Mytilus edulis: one gene and its partner. The protein of the gene in region 2 purifies or fractionates together with the protein of the main gene of each other region. This does not show direct contact. Links are inferred from orthologs where the notes say so. Each region holds a gene or a part of one and is shown on either strand. Other genes may lie near its edges.

Region 1 (7,465 bases), on a different chromosome or scaffold from region 2:
AAAATAAACAAAATTAAACTGCTCTCTTAGTCAAATACATTTTGCTAAACATTTTGAATCCTAAGTAAAAACATTAGACATCTATATTGTCTATACATTTGTTAAAAAAAAAGTACACAATATTTTTCTTCTTTTTAAATTCACTTACTTTGTTGTTATATTCCTCCACAAAACTACCAAGAGCTAAGCGAAATCTTTTATCAGGTCTTATGCTCCAGTTCATACTATATACTGTCCATGGTGCATCATACTTATAAATCTCTTTCCTCTTTCCCGGGGGTGGAGCAGGAGGAGCTCCTGGCAAGGCACACATTTTTATTGCTGAATAGAGAATTAGAAAATTAATTATACCGTCAGACTTCCATAAATGTACATGTACATGTACATTGTATGTGTAGTCATGGTAGTGGCACAATTATACAATATATACACAGAAAAAAAAAAGAAAACCCATTGTCATTTTATGTCATGAAAGTATCCTTTTCTTCACCATTCTTTTATCCAATTGGTTGGTCAGGGACCTCCATAACCTGTTTTTAAGGAGGTAGACCTTGGATCAGGGAGATAACTCTTTAAATCAGTTATGCGTTTGTAAAATTCAGGTTTCGCCAATGAATTTGAAGCATTTACCTGAAACAGATTGGAAATAATCTATGTATCCAAGAAGCTTAAACATATTTATGAAAATGGCTGACACAAACGTACTGATGATTTTAAGAGTTATCTCCCTTAACCTAGGTCTACCTCCTTAAGATGGCACACAACATTTTTTTATCCCACCTTGTCATTAGTTATTTACCATTTGATTGATTTAACATTATCACATCATACATGTCGTATGACCCCCTATTGTCACTATTTGCTGGGGATTTCCCCCATTGAGGCTCCCAAATGGAAATGTTGGAAGAGCAATTTTGTCCACAATCTTAAACAAAACAATTTTTAACAATTACTTTTATAATGGCTATGGGCTTTAAAAATCAAAGAGAATCATTATTATGAACAGTTTTAAAATATTCCAAATCAAGCCATTAACTTTTAAAATCTTCCCTGTACATTGTATTTTCATGAATTTCGAGAATTTATAAGGGGATGAACAGTAAAAAAATCAATAAAAAAAAAGTAAAAAAAAAAGGGAATTTTCATTGTACTTATGAACTCAAAATCGTTATTTTTTTTGTATTAACCTTTATAATTCTTGCATCTACTTCCTTTTTTCGTTGCATGAAACTTTGAGTAAAATATTTATCAGTCTAGTATAATATCATGAATATAGGATGGAATGCAATACCAATTTCATTTTAAATAATTCAACGATATGAAAAAACATTACCTGATGATAGGGTTTCTTTGCAGGGGTGTGGAAATATTTATTGTGAGCACTTGTCCCTGGGCAAGTAAAACTAAAAATTTTACTTGTCCGGAAAACAATTTATTTGCCCTGATGATCTTAATAAATATTGAAGTATTTCTTGTTACCTAATATATGCTTCTTACTTAGCATGCTTAGCACTATTGTGCATCACAAACAAATGAAATCCATTTGTTTATATGTGTAAACAAGAATGTGTCCTCAGTACACGAATGCCCCACTCGCACTATCATTTTCTATGTTCAGTGGACCTTGAAATTGGGGTAAAATCTCTAATTTGGCATTAAAATTAGAAAGATCATATCATAGGGAACATGTGTACTAAGTTTGAAGTCGATTGGACTTCAACTTCATCAAAAACTACCTCGACCAAAAACTTTAACCTGAAGCAGGATAGACGGACGGACGAACGGACAGACGGACGGATGAACAGACGGACACACGCACAGACCAGAAAACATAATGCCCCTCTACTATCGTAGGTGGGGCATAAAAATTAGGAAAGTAGAAAATGGGTTAACAGCAAGGGGACAGACACCTAACAGCAAACCAACTAATGAAATGACATGTAAAGGACAATTTTGCAGCAGTTTGGGAATAAAAATTGTAGCCAGTAGGTACACAATATACTAAATTTGAGGACAGTGATTGAAGAAATGTAAACTAAATAATAGATCAACTATTGATTTTGTGGTGTTTCTCTCAACTGACACGCTTGTTTTTTTCTTGATTATTTATTATTGTCTTGATGTACAATTAAAGCGTCCCTTCTATTTACCAGTTTGACTACAAATAATGTTGACCTTTCATCTATAAATAAGACAAAAACTGAATTTATTTTCCGAATTTCCATAGATAGCCAGGGGCAATCTGATATCCACGAAGTCTGAAATTCTCGCTTCCTTTTTTTTTCCTCCGTTTGCATTTAAGTTTTTCTACTCGACTCATGATTCTATTTGTCTTGCTTGCCCAGCTTTTTATTAAGTATTTGTCAATCTGAATCTCGATACAAAATTTAAAGAAATATCACTTCTGGTAAATGATGGATCAAACTTAATCGACGATCCCGGGTCAATGGACAAAGCCAATGCAATGTTATGCGACTCGGGTTCGCATACTTATTTTTACTTATTTTTACTTATTTTGGTAATCGATCTATTTCCGGTATCATGTAATATTTATCGTCATGAACATTGATGTTTTTACTTGCTGATTATTGGTTTCTTTTACATAAATTAAACATCTTTATACGTTTTGAAATTAATTCTATGTCTTTTTTTTGTTATTTGACTTTTGTCTTTTTTTACTTGTCCACGGGCAACCAAGACAAAAATAATTACTTGTCCAGTTGTTCAAATGTACGAGTCGGGCGAGTCAGGCATAGCGTTTCCACACCCCTGCTTTGTTTACATTGCATATGACGTCATTACTGAAATAAACGTCACAACTAAAATCCCTTACAACATTGTACAAATGAACAAAAATCAAACGTTACAGTATTTCCGTTTTGAAATAAAATATGTTTGAAAAAAAAAAAAAAAAATCATTCAGACTTCGTCTCCCATACCTGCCAACTTTTGAAAATGGCCATGGGGGTTTTTGTGCGCGGCACCATTTTTGAGGGTAGAATTTTTCGCGGCATTTTTTCGTGTGATGATTTGGCTCCTAAAAGTGTCTGACATACTTCTTTTTTTTTTGGGGGGGGGGGGGGGGGGATAGTTGAAGATGCTATTATAACCTATCTTTTTTTAAATTGTTTGATTGTTGTATTCTTTTTGTTGAGATAAACACCAGTAAGATGACTTTATGTTTGTCTGATACATTGTCAAGAAATAAAAAAAAAAGTAATAATTTTAATAATTTAATAACAAAAAAAACAACAATATATGAGGGTCTGGAAATGGGGGGTGGGGGGGGGGAGTGTCTGTTGTTCTGTAAACATTTAGTTTTCACCCCTTTTTTCTCTAATCTTCAAAAAATTAACCTCTTTCTTTTCTAATCTTCAAAAAAATTTGACCACGTATTTCTCCAATTTTCATTTTTTTTTGCCCGTTATTCCCTTATCTTCATTTTTTAAGGGCATTATATTCTTTAATCATTTAACCCCATCCAAACCCTCATATATTATATAGATCAATATCACAAGCAGTACTAGAATGTTTGAAGACATCATTAAGGCCACCGTAGTCAACTTTAAAGTCTCTGTTGCAAACTTTACAAAAGGCATGTGACAATCCTAACGTTGATTTAGACAACCAGCCCCTGTACTTGACATCATTCTCCCATTTCTCTTAGTATTTGCACGAAGCAACACGCTTTTTTTTCTTAGGCGGTGACAGAACTATTTTGCAAGTGATAACTCGCCCATCATGATTCCAATTTTTATAAATTTAACACCCAAGCTAAAAAAAACAACTCAAAATTTCGATTCTTTGATTGTTTACTATGCCGACATTAATCAACTGGTGAATGTGTGATCACTTAATTTTGAACAATGATAGTTACCACGAGTACATTGAAAATTCCTGACTGTAAAATATAACTTTTTTTATTATTGTAACATTTTGATGTCACCATAGCCAGTGCCAATTAATTAAAGTAAAGGTTAATTTGTAAAAATCACATGCATGTTTTAACAAAGTCTTTTCAAATGTAAACAATGAAACATTCGTAAAAACCAACGTTATTTGATGCAACATAGATATATAATTACCGATGAACTGTTAATCGATGATATATGTAGAACAAAATCAAATTAGAATGTAAAGAAATGATTCATTTTGCCTGATTTATGACATATTTTGATGTTTAAAACACTAGACAGGAAATTTCTTGGTCAATAAAAATAGGATTACGATTATCGTAAATTCCGTTTTGAAGTGTTGATGAATAAATAAATGAAATTTCTTCTGAATTAATTTGATGAATGAACAAACATTGTTTAAAGATTAAATGAATATCTTTTGATAATAAATTTTGATTAAAAATTATTTAATTTACGACAATAATCGTAAATCGATTTTCGATCGACGTTCATGAAATGCTTGTAAATGTAACAATAAATGATCATAGTCATAAGCGTTTAAAAGATATTTGTATGTTTTATTTTGTGCGAGCAAAAACATTCAGCGGGAAATGCCCCAAATAAATTAATGAACGAAAATGACAGAATTAGAAGGATCAGAATCCATGGACAAGCCCGTAAACGTACCTGAGGCTCTATTCAAGGACGTCAAATACTATGTCGTTGGCGATATTGCAAAAGAGGTCCAAAATTATTCAATATTTACTAAAATTATCGCTTTCGGGTCGATCCGGCCCCACGTCGATCCGGCCCAAGTCGATCCGTCCCACGTCGATCCGGCCCCACGTCGATCCGGCCCATATGTAAAGTCGATCCGGCCCCAATAAAAAAAATATTTCTAAGGAATAAAAATAAATATATATTAATTGTAATTCATAAATGTTTATTATTATTATTATAATGTTAAAGGTGTACGGTAAACAAATTAAAAAAGGCCTTTGAAAAATATTTTCCTTAGATGAGTATAAAACAACTAGGTTGATTATGTCTTTATTACAAGTTTTCAAGATTATTGGCTATAATTATATTAAAACATATATAAAAGAATTTAGACATCAACATTAATCAGCAGTAATTAGCATTTTCTTATAATTGTGATCCTAACAAGTTTCATCTTGTGTAACATGTAATAACAAATAGTTACATACATGAACGGTACAAGCCGATCCCCAAGCTGATACATATTAACTTTGTTTTTCTTAAGTTCATAAATTTTTTCAAATTAGGAAATGTTGTTTGATTTGCCGAATCGTTTCTATAAAAGAGTGCTGATATTATATTACGGAACATTAATAAATCAGCATTGGATTGAATTAAGTGATTACGAGTGGCATTACCTTAGTTCACAATCATCAGACAACTGTTGAATAAACAAACCAATTATAGACTAATGATTCGATTAAATATTAAAGTCATAATGATGCGTTAAATTTTATAGGTCCATTGGACGGAAAATATTTATTTAGCTATTCTGTGTGTGAACTGAATAAAAAAAAATCGCCATGAAATTCAAAGTAAAAGTTATCATGGAAAATAACTTCATAATTTAAAAATGTAGAAACTGCGATACAAACGGACACAATAACACTCATTTTCGTATCGATTTAAAATAGTTCTTTAACTGGTACTCCAATACTTCACTGACCTGTTGTCATCCATCATCGATCGGACACATTTTTCAAATTCCATCTATACTGTTAAAATTTGTGACAAATTCCTCCAAAAACAATATAGTTAATTCATATTTTATCATGGGGCCGGACCGACTTGGGGACGGATCGACGTGGGCCGGATCGACTTGGGCCGGATCGACTTTGGGCCGGATTGACTTGGGGCCGGATCGGTTTGGGGCCGGAACGACCGGATACCAAATTATCTAGTACCACAGGGGCTTGTTTAGTGGGTCAGACGAGGTTTTACTGTCAATGGCGATCGCTATCCTATATAAAATTGGTCAGACGAGGTAACCTCGTCTGACCCACTAAACAAGCCCCTGTGCTAGTACTGTGATGTCTGATGAATTTCTTCTACTTTAGTCACACCATCTTCCTCCACCAATAAGGCTAAAAATATATGTTTGTTTACAGTAAGAAGTTCAACCATTTGTTTAGCACCAACCCTAAATCATCCTGTTGTAAAGTAAAAGATTAAGTTGAACTCATGTCATGAATTTCTATTTAGTTAAGTTAGAGTTCTCAAAATAATGGCTAATACGAATGGCCAATTAACACCATAAATACCAGAATAACACTTGAAATTTTAATTTTAGCACATATGGGTGAATAAGAGGGGCATAAAGGGAGGGTATCTGCATGGAAGAATGCAGATACCCTCCCTTTATGCCCCAGATTATCGGAATTCCAATGGGGACTAACTGTGCACCACTTATTGCGGACCTGTTTTTGTATTGTTATGAGTTACAATTTATGACAAAAATAAGCAAAGACCCATCGAAATAACATCTGATAAATAATGACCACTGCCCTTTTCTCGATCTTGATATCTATATCACTAATGGAAAGCTGAATACTAAAATTTATGATAAAAGGGATGATTTTTCATTTCCTATTGTTAATTATCCGTTTTTAGATGGTGACGTTCCCTTGTCACCATCTTACGGTGTTTATATATCTCAACTTGTACGATTCGCTCGTGTATGTAACAATGTTTTAGATTTTAACGAGAGAAATTTATGTATTACTGAAAAATTATTACACCAGGGTTTTCGATATCACAAACTAGTCAAAACATTTACTAAATTTTATCATCGGTATAAAGACATCATTCGTAAATATAGCTCAACATGCAGACTTCTAATACGTTCAGGTATTTCACATCCAATTTTTTATGGTAATATTCTTTATAAAGCACAAAGGTGTCAGTATTCACCTCAGAAACTTACAAAACCTTTGAATAGACTTATTAAGAAGGGATATAATTACGATACTGTTGTCAAGTCATTAAAGATTGCATATTTTGGCGTTAATATTGAGTCACTGATAAGGTCTTTGCATCGGAACTAAACACATTATTTTTTTAAAAACAGTTGTTGGCATGACACGGGTTATGTTCTTCTCATATATGTTATGATGGTATGATACTAAACCCCTAACGGGAAGGATTGTGCCTGATGTTCATATGATGAAATCATAATCTTTCAGTCAGTTTAATTGAAGTCTGGAGCTGGCATGTCAGTTAACTGCTAGTAGTCTGTTGTTATTTATGTATTTTTGTCATTTTGTTTATTTTCTTTGGTTACATCTTCTGACATCAGACTCGGATTTCTCTTGAACTGAATTTTAATGTGCGTATTGTTATGCGTTTACTTTACCACATTGGTTAGAGGTATAGGGGGAGGGTTGAGATCTCACAAACATGTTTAACCCCGCCGCATTTTTGCACCTGTCCCAAGTCAGGAGCCTCTGGCCTTTGTTAGTCTTGTATTATTTTAATTTTAGTTTCTTGTGTACAATTTGGAAATTAGTATGGCGTTCATTATCACTGGACTA
Region 2 (7,304 bases):
GCCATTTATAAGTTTGTAGTATGTGCACATTTTTTTTTTAATGTTTATTATCTATTATGTGTTTAAATTAAAATTTGCTTTAGTTTACTATCTTGCAAATATTAAGAAGGAAAAAGTTGTTCAATGGAAGCACCTTTCTTACTATTATGACAGAAATATGATGTAGAAATACCTGCCAACTTTTCAAAATGCCAAAATGGGTTTTGCGTGCAAGATGGCCGTCATAGTCCTAAAAAACCTTCAAGGGGGCCTTTAGATACATTTTAATGTTGTTTTTTGGCTTCTTCATACTAATGTAAGCCTCATGTCATTGTAAAATTAATTGTTTTGTTAAAAATTGTGCACAAAATTGCTCATTCAAAATTTCAATTTGGGAGACTCCATGGGGGAAATCCCTCGCAAATAGTGACAGTTGGCAGGTTTGTATAGACCAAAACTTTTGATAATTAACTTTTACATTTGTAAGTTCAACATCCAGCTTCAAATATAATCTATTATTATACCTCAGTATATTTTTTTCTAAATAAAAAATAATGAAATAGTTGTGCTATTTCATTCCACAGACTATTTGCAAGTCAATAGTTTCAAAGACTATTACCCAGTTAATAGTTTCATATAAATCATCTTTCCTGTACTTTTCATGCTTATTTTTCATTGGACAATAATGATGTCATTGACTATTTTGCTTGGCAAAGTCAAACTCTAGTATTGTTAACGGTATAATCTGTTTGTGTCGATTGTAATTTCACTTACAAGAAGCAATTATAAAAGAGAGAAAATCTTCGCGTGCATTTTTTATAGTTCTTAATATGGGTTCGGTTGTCCAGGCCTCTACAAAAACTTTTTTTTCCAACTTGTCCAGTAGGACAAGTACAAACCAAAACTTACTTGTCCGAATGAAATTGTAACTTGTCCAAAAAAAATCTTTATAATAACCTTTTTTGCATTTCAAGTTGATTCAAGGAACAAAATGAATAAAAAAAAAATTGAACAGAATTTGATTTATATCCTTTGAAATACTTTTAAAAGACATGAGCCATGAACAACTGAATTTAGTTGTGTCACAGGACTTAGGTTTCAGTTTTTATCAATGCTAAAGTCTCATCATACTTTGCACATGAGGCACCATCTGATTGGCCTCTAAATGTACACTCATTTGATTTTTATCCTATTTCTTTAAAAGTTGAAAAAAGTTTATTCAAATGCAATCAATAAAAAGAATTTGAGGTATGATTGTCAATGAGACAAAAGACCAAATGACACAGAAATTAACAACTATGGGTCACTGCATTGTAAGTATTATTTTTTCTACATAAAAATCAAACATGATTTGATGATTTTTATGGTAAACAATAAATTTCCTCATTTTTATTTAAAAAATATGGTATGGACATTGGTATTAGTTATTATAAAGCAACAAAATAAGGTAGGAAAAGAGGTTCTGATTTGTCTAAGTCCAGAAATGTCTACTGCCTTGCCAAACTGTCTATTAATCATGTCTATGAAATATGTCTCCTACAGTGCCCAACTGTCTATTAAACTTGGAGCCGAATCATTTCCGAGCTGGTGACGAACTGTCTTTTAAAGTTACCTTATCTAAAAAGCACATGGTTGAATGGGATGTCAAGACTGGTTTCCGAGAAAAGTGTGTCAAGTACTTTTAACAGGTAAAAAACAAAGAACCAGTTTTAAATTATCGATTGCAAGTCTGAGGGGTCTTGAAAAATAAAAAGTTAGTTTCAGTTTAAAAAGGAAAGATGTCAAACAAATCTTCTTTTCTTGTTTTTTTGTTAATAATTATACTTTGTTCATCAAATTTGGATTAAAATTTATTTTCTGCAGAATGATTCTACTTGTCCCATCGGGCAAGCTTGGTATAGCTTTAACTTGTCCGACCTTTTTTACTTCTGGTACCGGACAATCGATATTGTCGAGGCCTGTTGTCGCATTGAGTAATACTAAAAGTGGATTTGCGTTTGGTGTACTTTAAATTAGCTTAAATTTATCACATGCACGGAAAATTAAACACAAGTATTTCTAGTCTTGATTGCAATTAATGAAATATTTACCAATAAAAGAAGAACTATAAAAAAAAAACCAACATATAGTTCATCTTGTGCATGTCAAGGTATGCGACATTTTTTTCTTTTCTATCAGATGATGTATGTACACTTTTAGAAAATTAGTTAATTTGGTATATAAAAACACTTAATTACTGTTGTTCAGTATAATAAAACACCTAATGACTGGTTGTGCAGGTAATAGCAAGTTTGTTGTCCGTTCGCATACCAAATATTGCTCTTGGCTTGGCCTCGTGCAATAGTTGGTATCCCAGGGAAAACAAACTTGCCCCTCACACCGTCAGTATGTGTATAAAAAACCATTAATGGCATTATGAATGTCATTATGTGAACCCTGTATATATAAATATATATATATATAGTGTTTTTTCTTAAAAAGGGGTGCACAGCTTTCATCTGAGATCTGCCTTTCTGTGGCCAAACAAGTCATATTTTTTCAAGAACTGAAATAAATTGGATTTTTAAGTTTTAAATAACGTCTTCGCACCAGTTCGGTACTGGACTTATTGATTTGCCCAGTCTTTTATTTATGTAAAATTTGGTGCATTACCTACAAGTTATTGTGCCTGCAAAATTATGTTTCTTCAGTGTAAATGCGTCATTTACGTTGAAGATAGAAACCCGCACATCCAATCGCTTCTTTTCACGGCTTTTGTTGATACATTTTGGCATCCATTTTCATAGTTAAACAAAAATAGTTCCTACTTCCGGTTTTAGAAAGTTTCGATTTTTTGTTTGTTTTTAATACTTTAACCATAAAAATAGATAGTTCTAAACAAAATAAACGTGAGAGAATTCGTTTCTGGATGAAACTTCACACATTTACATCTTTATCGAAAAGGTCAAAATGTGAAAGGGCGATATTAGCGTATGAAAATATGGCCGAAAATATAACGGAGAGCTTCGGTAACAGTATTACTTCCCTTTAAAATGTACTTTTCCTGTAAAAATAATAAATTATAAAAAACTATTGGATAAAAAAATATTTGTATTGGAGTGAGATTTTGGGGCTTTGTTTGGCATAATCCTACTTTAGTCCTAGGTGGGATTTAACGTTTTTTTAATTTGTCTCAAATCTAATCAATTTTATGTTTTTAATTAAAATTATAATATCATTTGATTAGGCAGCAACCATTTGATTTTCTGGGGGGGGGGGGGGGGGGTATGGTTTTTTTTTGGAAAAAAAGTTTGTTTCCAGTTTTTGGAGAAAAAAATAATTTGTTTTTGATTCTGAGAAAAAAAAATTGTTTGTTTCACCCTCAGCTGCCACTATATGTAATGCTAAAATTGAAAGAATAAAATTGTTTTAGACTTGTCGCGAAAAAAATAGATTGTTTTTCGCCATAGGCGAAAAAAAAAAGTTTGCACAGAAAAAAAAAAGTTTGTACAGAAAAAAAACCCATTCCCCCCCCCTGAAAATCAAATTGGTTGCTGCCTTATGGAATAAAAGACGACCGGAATGTTTTATTTAAGTATAATTACACAAACATTAGAAAAAATGTTAATTTCACCAGAGACATATATAATACAATGTATTATATTACTATTATAGTTACTAATAGTTGATTTCCAGTACAGGATCCCTCAAGGTTCCTCTTCACCAGACTCAATTGATTTAATGTTTTTCTAATACTGTTTTGATCGTGACTTCCGGACATTTCTGCTCTGTAGTCAAAATAATATATCTCTTCGTCTGACCAATATTTGTCTGACTTTTATTATATGTCTCTGATACAGCTAACCTCAAGAACACCGATGTGGCAACATGTCCAATTATCTATTGCCAATAATTAAATTAAAAAACATTTATACCTGTAGCTACATTTAACATGTACAACAGCGTGTAATGAAAACTCTAGAACTATTTGACTAGGTACACAAATGTTGCAATTCTTAGGCCGCACCTATCTATTGCCAACAATTAAAATAAATAACTTACTCAGTTTAAAGTAAAACAGACCAAAACACAAAAACTTAACTATAACCACTGAACCATGAAAATGAGGTCAAGGTCAGATGACACCTGCTAGTTGGACATGTAAACCTTATATAGTCCTTCCATATACCGAATATACAAGACCTATATATTGCTTATAATATCTAAGAAATGGACTTGACCACCAAAACTTAACCTTGTTCACTGATCCATGAAATGAGGTCGAGGTCAAGTGAAAACTGTCTGACGGGCATGAGGACCTTGCAAAGTAGGCACATACCAAATATAGTTATCCTATTACTAACAATAAGAGAGAATTTAACATTACAAAAAATCTTAACTTTTTTTTCAAGTAGTCACTGAACCATGAAAAATGAAGTCAAGGACATTGGACATGTGACTGACAGAAACTTCGTAACATGAGGCATCTATGTAACAAAGTATGAAGCATCCAGGTCTTCAACCTTCTAAAATTCGTAAGGGTTCCACGGAACCCAATGTCTCGCCTACTTTTGCTGTTAATTGCAGACTCAACAAAAATGAGGAAAAACATCAATAAAAATTTCCCTCTCGATACTGTCGTTTGATTGAAAGAAGCTTCCAAGTTTGGTAAAAAATCCAGGATAGTTTATGAATCTAATAAATGTTTTATAAACTTTAACTGCAGACTGTATGCAATGTTAACTGGAAGAAAAACTAAGTCCATTTATAAGTGAAATACGGAAAAAGTGATTTTTTTTTTCACAAAATTTACTTCTGAATAATATCTTATGATCAGAAACAAGCTTATGTCTAAGTTTGGTAGAAATCCAGGATAGTTTAAGAACATTATAAAAATTTTAAAAACTTAAACCACAGAGTGAATGTTTTGTTTCTGGCCAAAAAAATAAGTCCATTTATAAGTAAAATACGGAAAAGCGGAAATTTATTTTTACAAAATTTTCTTCTTGATACTATCTTTTGATCATAAACAAGCTTCTGTCCAAGTTTGGTATAAATCAAGGATAGTTTATGAAAGTTATTAAAATTTTAAAAACTTTAACCACAGAGTGAATGTAATGTTTCCTCGCAGAAAAACTAAGTCCATTTATAAGTAAAATACGGAAAAAATGGAATTTTATTTTTACAAAATTTACTTCTGGATACTTTCTTATGATCATAAACAAGCTTCTGTCCAAGTTTGGTAGAAATTCAGTATAGTTTAAGAAAGTTATTAAAATTTCAAAAACTTTAACCACAGAGTGAATATTTGTGGACGCCGCCGACGACGACGCCGACGACGACGGAATGTAGGATCGCTTAGTCTCGCTTTTTCGACTAAAGTCGAAGGCTCGACAAAAATATAAAGCTTTTAAGAAGTTAGCTAACACCGCTCCCGCCACCGGATCACTATCCCTATGTCGAGCTTTCTGTGACAAAAGTCGCAGGCTCAACAAAAAAAAAAACTATGGACTAAAATATCCATGAAAATAAGGTCAAGGTCAGATGAACCTTGTTAGACAGACGTGTAAACCTTACAATTATTCTATTCATTGAATAAACATAATGAATTACTTAGTTTCAGAGAAACAAATACATAAATCCCAAAACTGAACATTAATCACTGAATCATGACTTTTGTAAGGCTAGGCGATGGTAATGATGGACAGCTGTTAAAAGTCCTGTGGCAATTAAATGCATATTCAGGACAGGTACATGAATATTAACCCTGCTTTGTGCAATCCACAAGAAGAGCAGCAGCAAATACCAATTTTTGAGTCGTTTAGGTTTTAACATGCCAGAGTTCCAACTTGAGGCGAACACACTGATGTTATTGTATAAAAGACTCTTTAGTTGTAAATGTCTGTGTCATTTGATCTCTTGTGAAGAGTTGTCTCATTAGGAATCACACCACTTCTTTTTTATATGTATACCAAGCAATGAATCCATATACATTTGTACCAAATATAGTTGTCCATATTACACATAACAAGAGTGCACACGCTGAAATGTCTCGCCTTCTATACTAATCATTGATATTATGTTGATAGTCCTTAGTATAAAGCTAAGCTTTATAACAACTGTCACATAAACTTAACATTAACCAAGATAACTAAACATAGACCAATGAACCTTGAAAATGAGGTCAAGGTCAGATGAACCATGCCAGGCAGACATGTACAGCTAACAATGCTTCTATACAACATATATAGTTGACCTATTACTTATAGTTTAAGAAAAATAGACCAAAACACAAAAACTTAACACTGTGCAATGAACCGTGAAAATGAGGTCACGGTCAAATAAAACCTGTGCGACTGACATAAAGGTTATAAAATATTTCCATACACCAAATATAGTTGACCTATGGCATATAGTATTAGATAAAAAGACCAAAACTCAAAAACTTAACTTTGACCACTGAACCATGAAAATAAGGTCAAGGTCACATGACATCTGCCCGCTAGACATGTACACCTTACAATCGTTCCATACAACAAATATAGTAGACCTATTGCATATAGTATGAGAAAAACAGACCAAAACACAAAAATTTAACTATAACCACTGAACCATGAAAATGAGGTCAAGGTCAGATGACACCTGCCAGTTGGACATGTACACCTTACAGTCCTTCCATACACTGAATATACTAGCCCTATTGCTTATAGTATCTGAGATATGGACTTAACCTTGTTCACTGATCCATGAAATGAGGTCAAGGTCAAGTGAAAACTGTCTGACAGACATGAGGACCTTGCAAGGTACGCACATATCAAATATAGTTATCCTATTACTTATAATAAGAGAGAATTCAACATTACAAAAAAATTGACCTTTTTTTTCAAGTGGTCACTGAACCATGAAAATGAGGTCAAGGACATTGGACATGTGACTGACGGAAACTTCGTAACATGAGGCATCTATATACAAAGTATGAAGCATCCAGGTCTTCCACCTTCTAAAATATAAAGCTTTTAAGAAGTTAGCTAACGCCGCCGCCGCCGGATCACTATCCCTATGTCGAGCTTTCTGCAACAAAAGTTGCAGGCTCGACGAAAATGGGGTAAATAGTCAAATAAAAAGACCATTTGGCATCTTCATACAAATATGGAGCTATCCAGCACCTTTAAAGTTTGGACAATAAAGCTTTAAAAAAGACAACCCTGTTAAGTATCCCTAAGTTCTGCTGATGATAATAAGGCACACTGCCAAGCCAATGATGATGATAGACGCCAAGTGATGAAAATATAATTAAATACAAATAAATATAATTAAATATAAATAAATATAAAGCATTTGCATGT

Evidence for each region. Proteins that work in one complex are often made in the same cells at the same time.
Region 1: the proteins of histone-lysine N-methyltransferase 2C-like (region 2) and PAX-interacting protein 1-like purify together in Homo sapiens (affinity purification with mass spectrometry; 4 studies listed by BioGRID and IntAct, with this or other methods). This does not show direct contact. The link is inferred for Mytilus edulis from reciprocal best matches to the Homo sapiens genes KMT2C and PAXIP1.

What each region holds. Positions count from the first base shown.
Region 1 is NC_092350.1:66,545,785-66,553,249, forward strand, and holds the start of PAX-interacting protein 1-like, read left to right. Parts: upstream 1-4,445; 5' UTR 4,446-4,534; coding exon 4,535-4,639; intron 4,640-7,465. Other genes in the region: DDB1- and CUL4-associated factor 7, read right to left, coding at 149-313.
Region 2 is NC_092345.1:42,272,410-42,279,713, forward strand, and holds the start of histone-lysine N-methyltransferase 2C-like, read right to left. Parts: upstream 3,016-7,304; 5' UTR 2,632-3,015; intron 1-2,631. UniProt on the Homo sapiens protein: Histone methyltransferase that catalyzes methyl group transfer from S-adenosyl-L-methionine to the epsilon-amino group of 'Lys-4' of histone H3 (H3K4).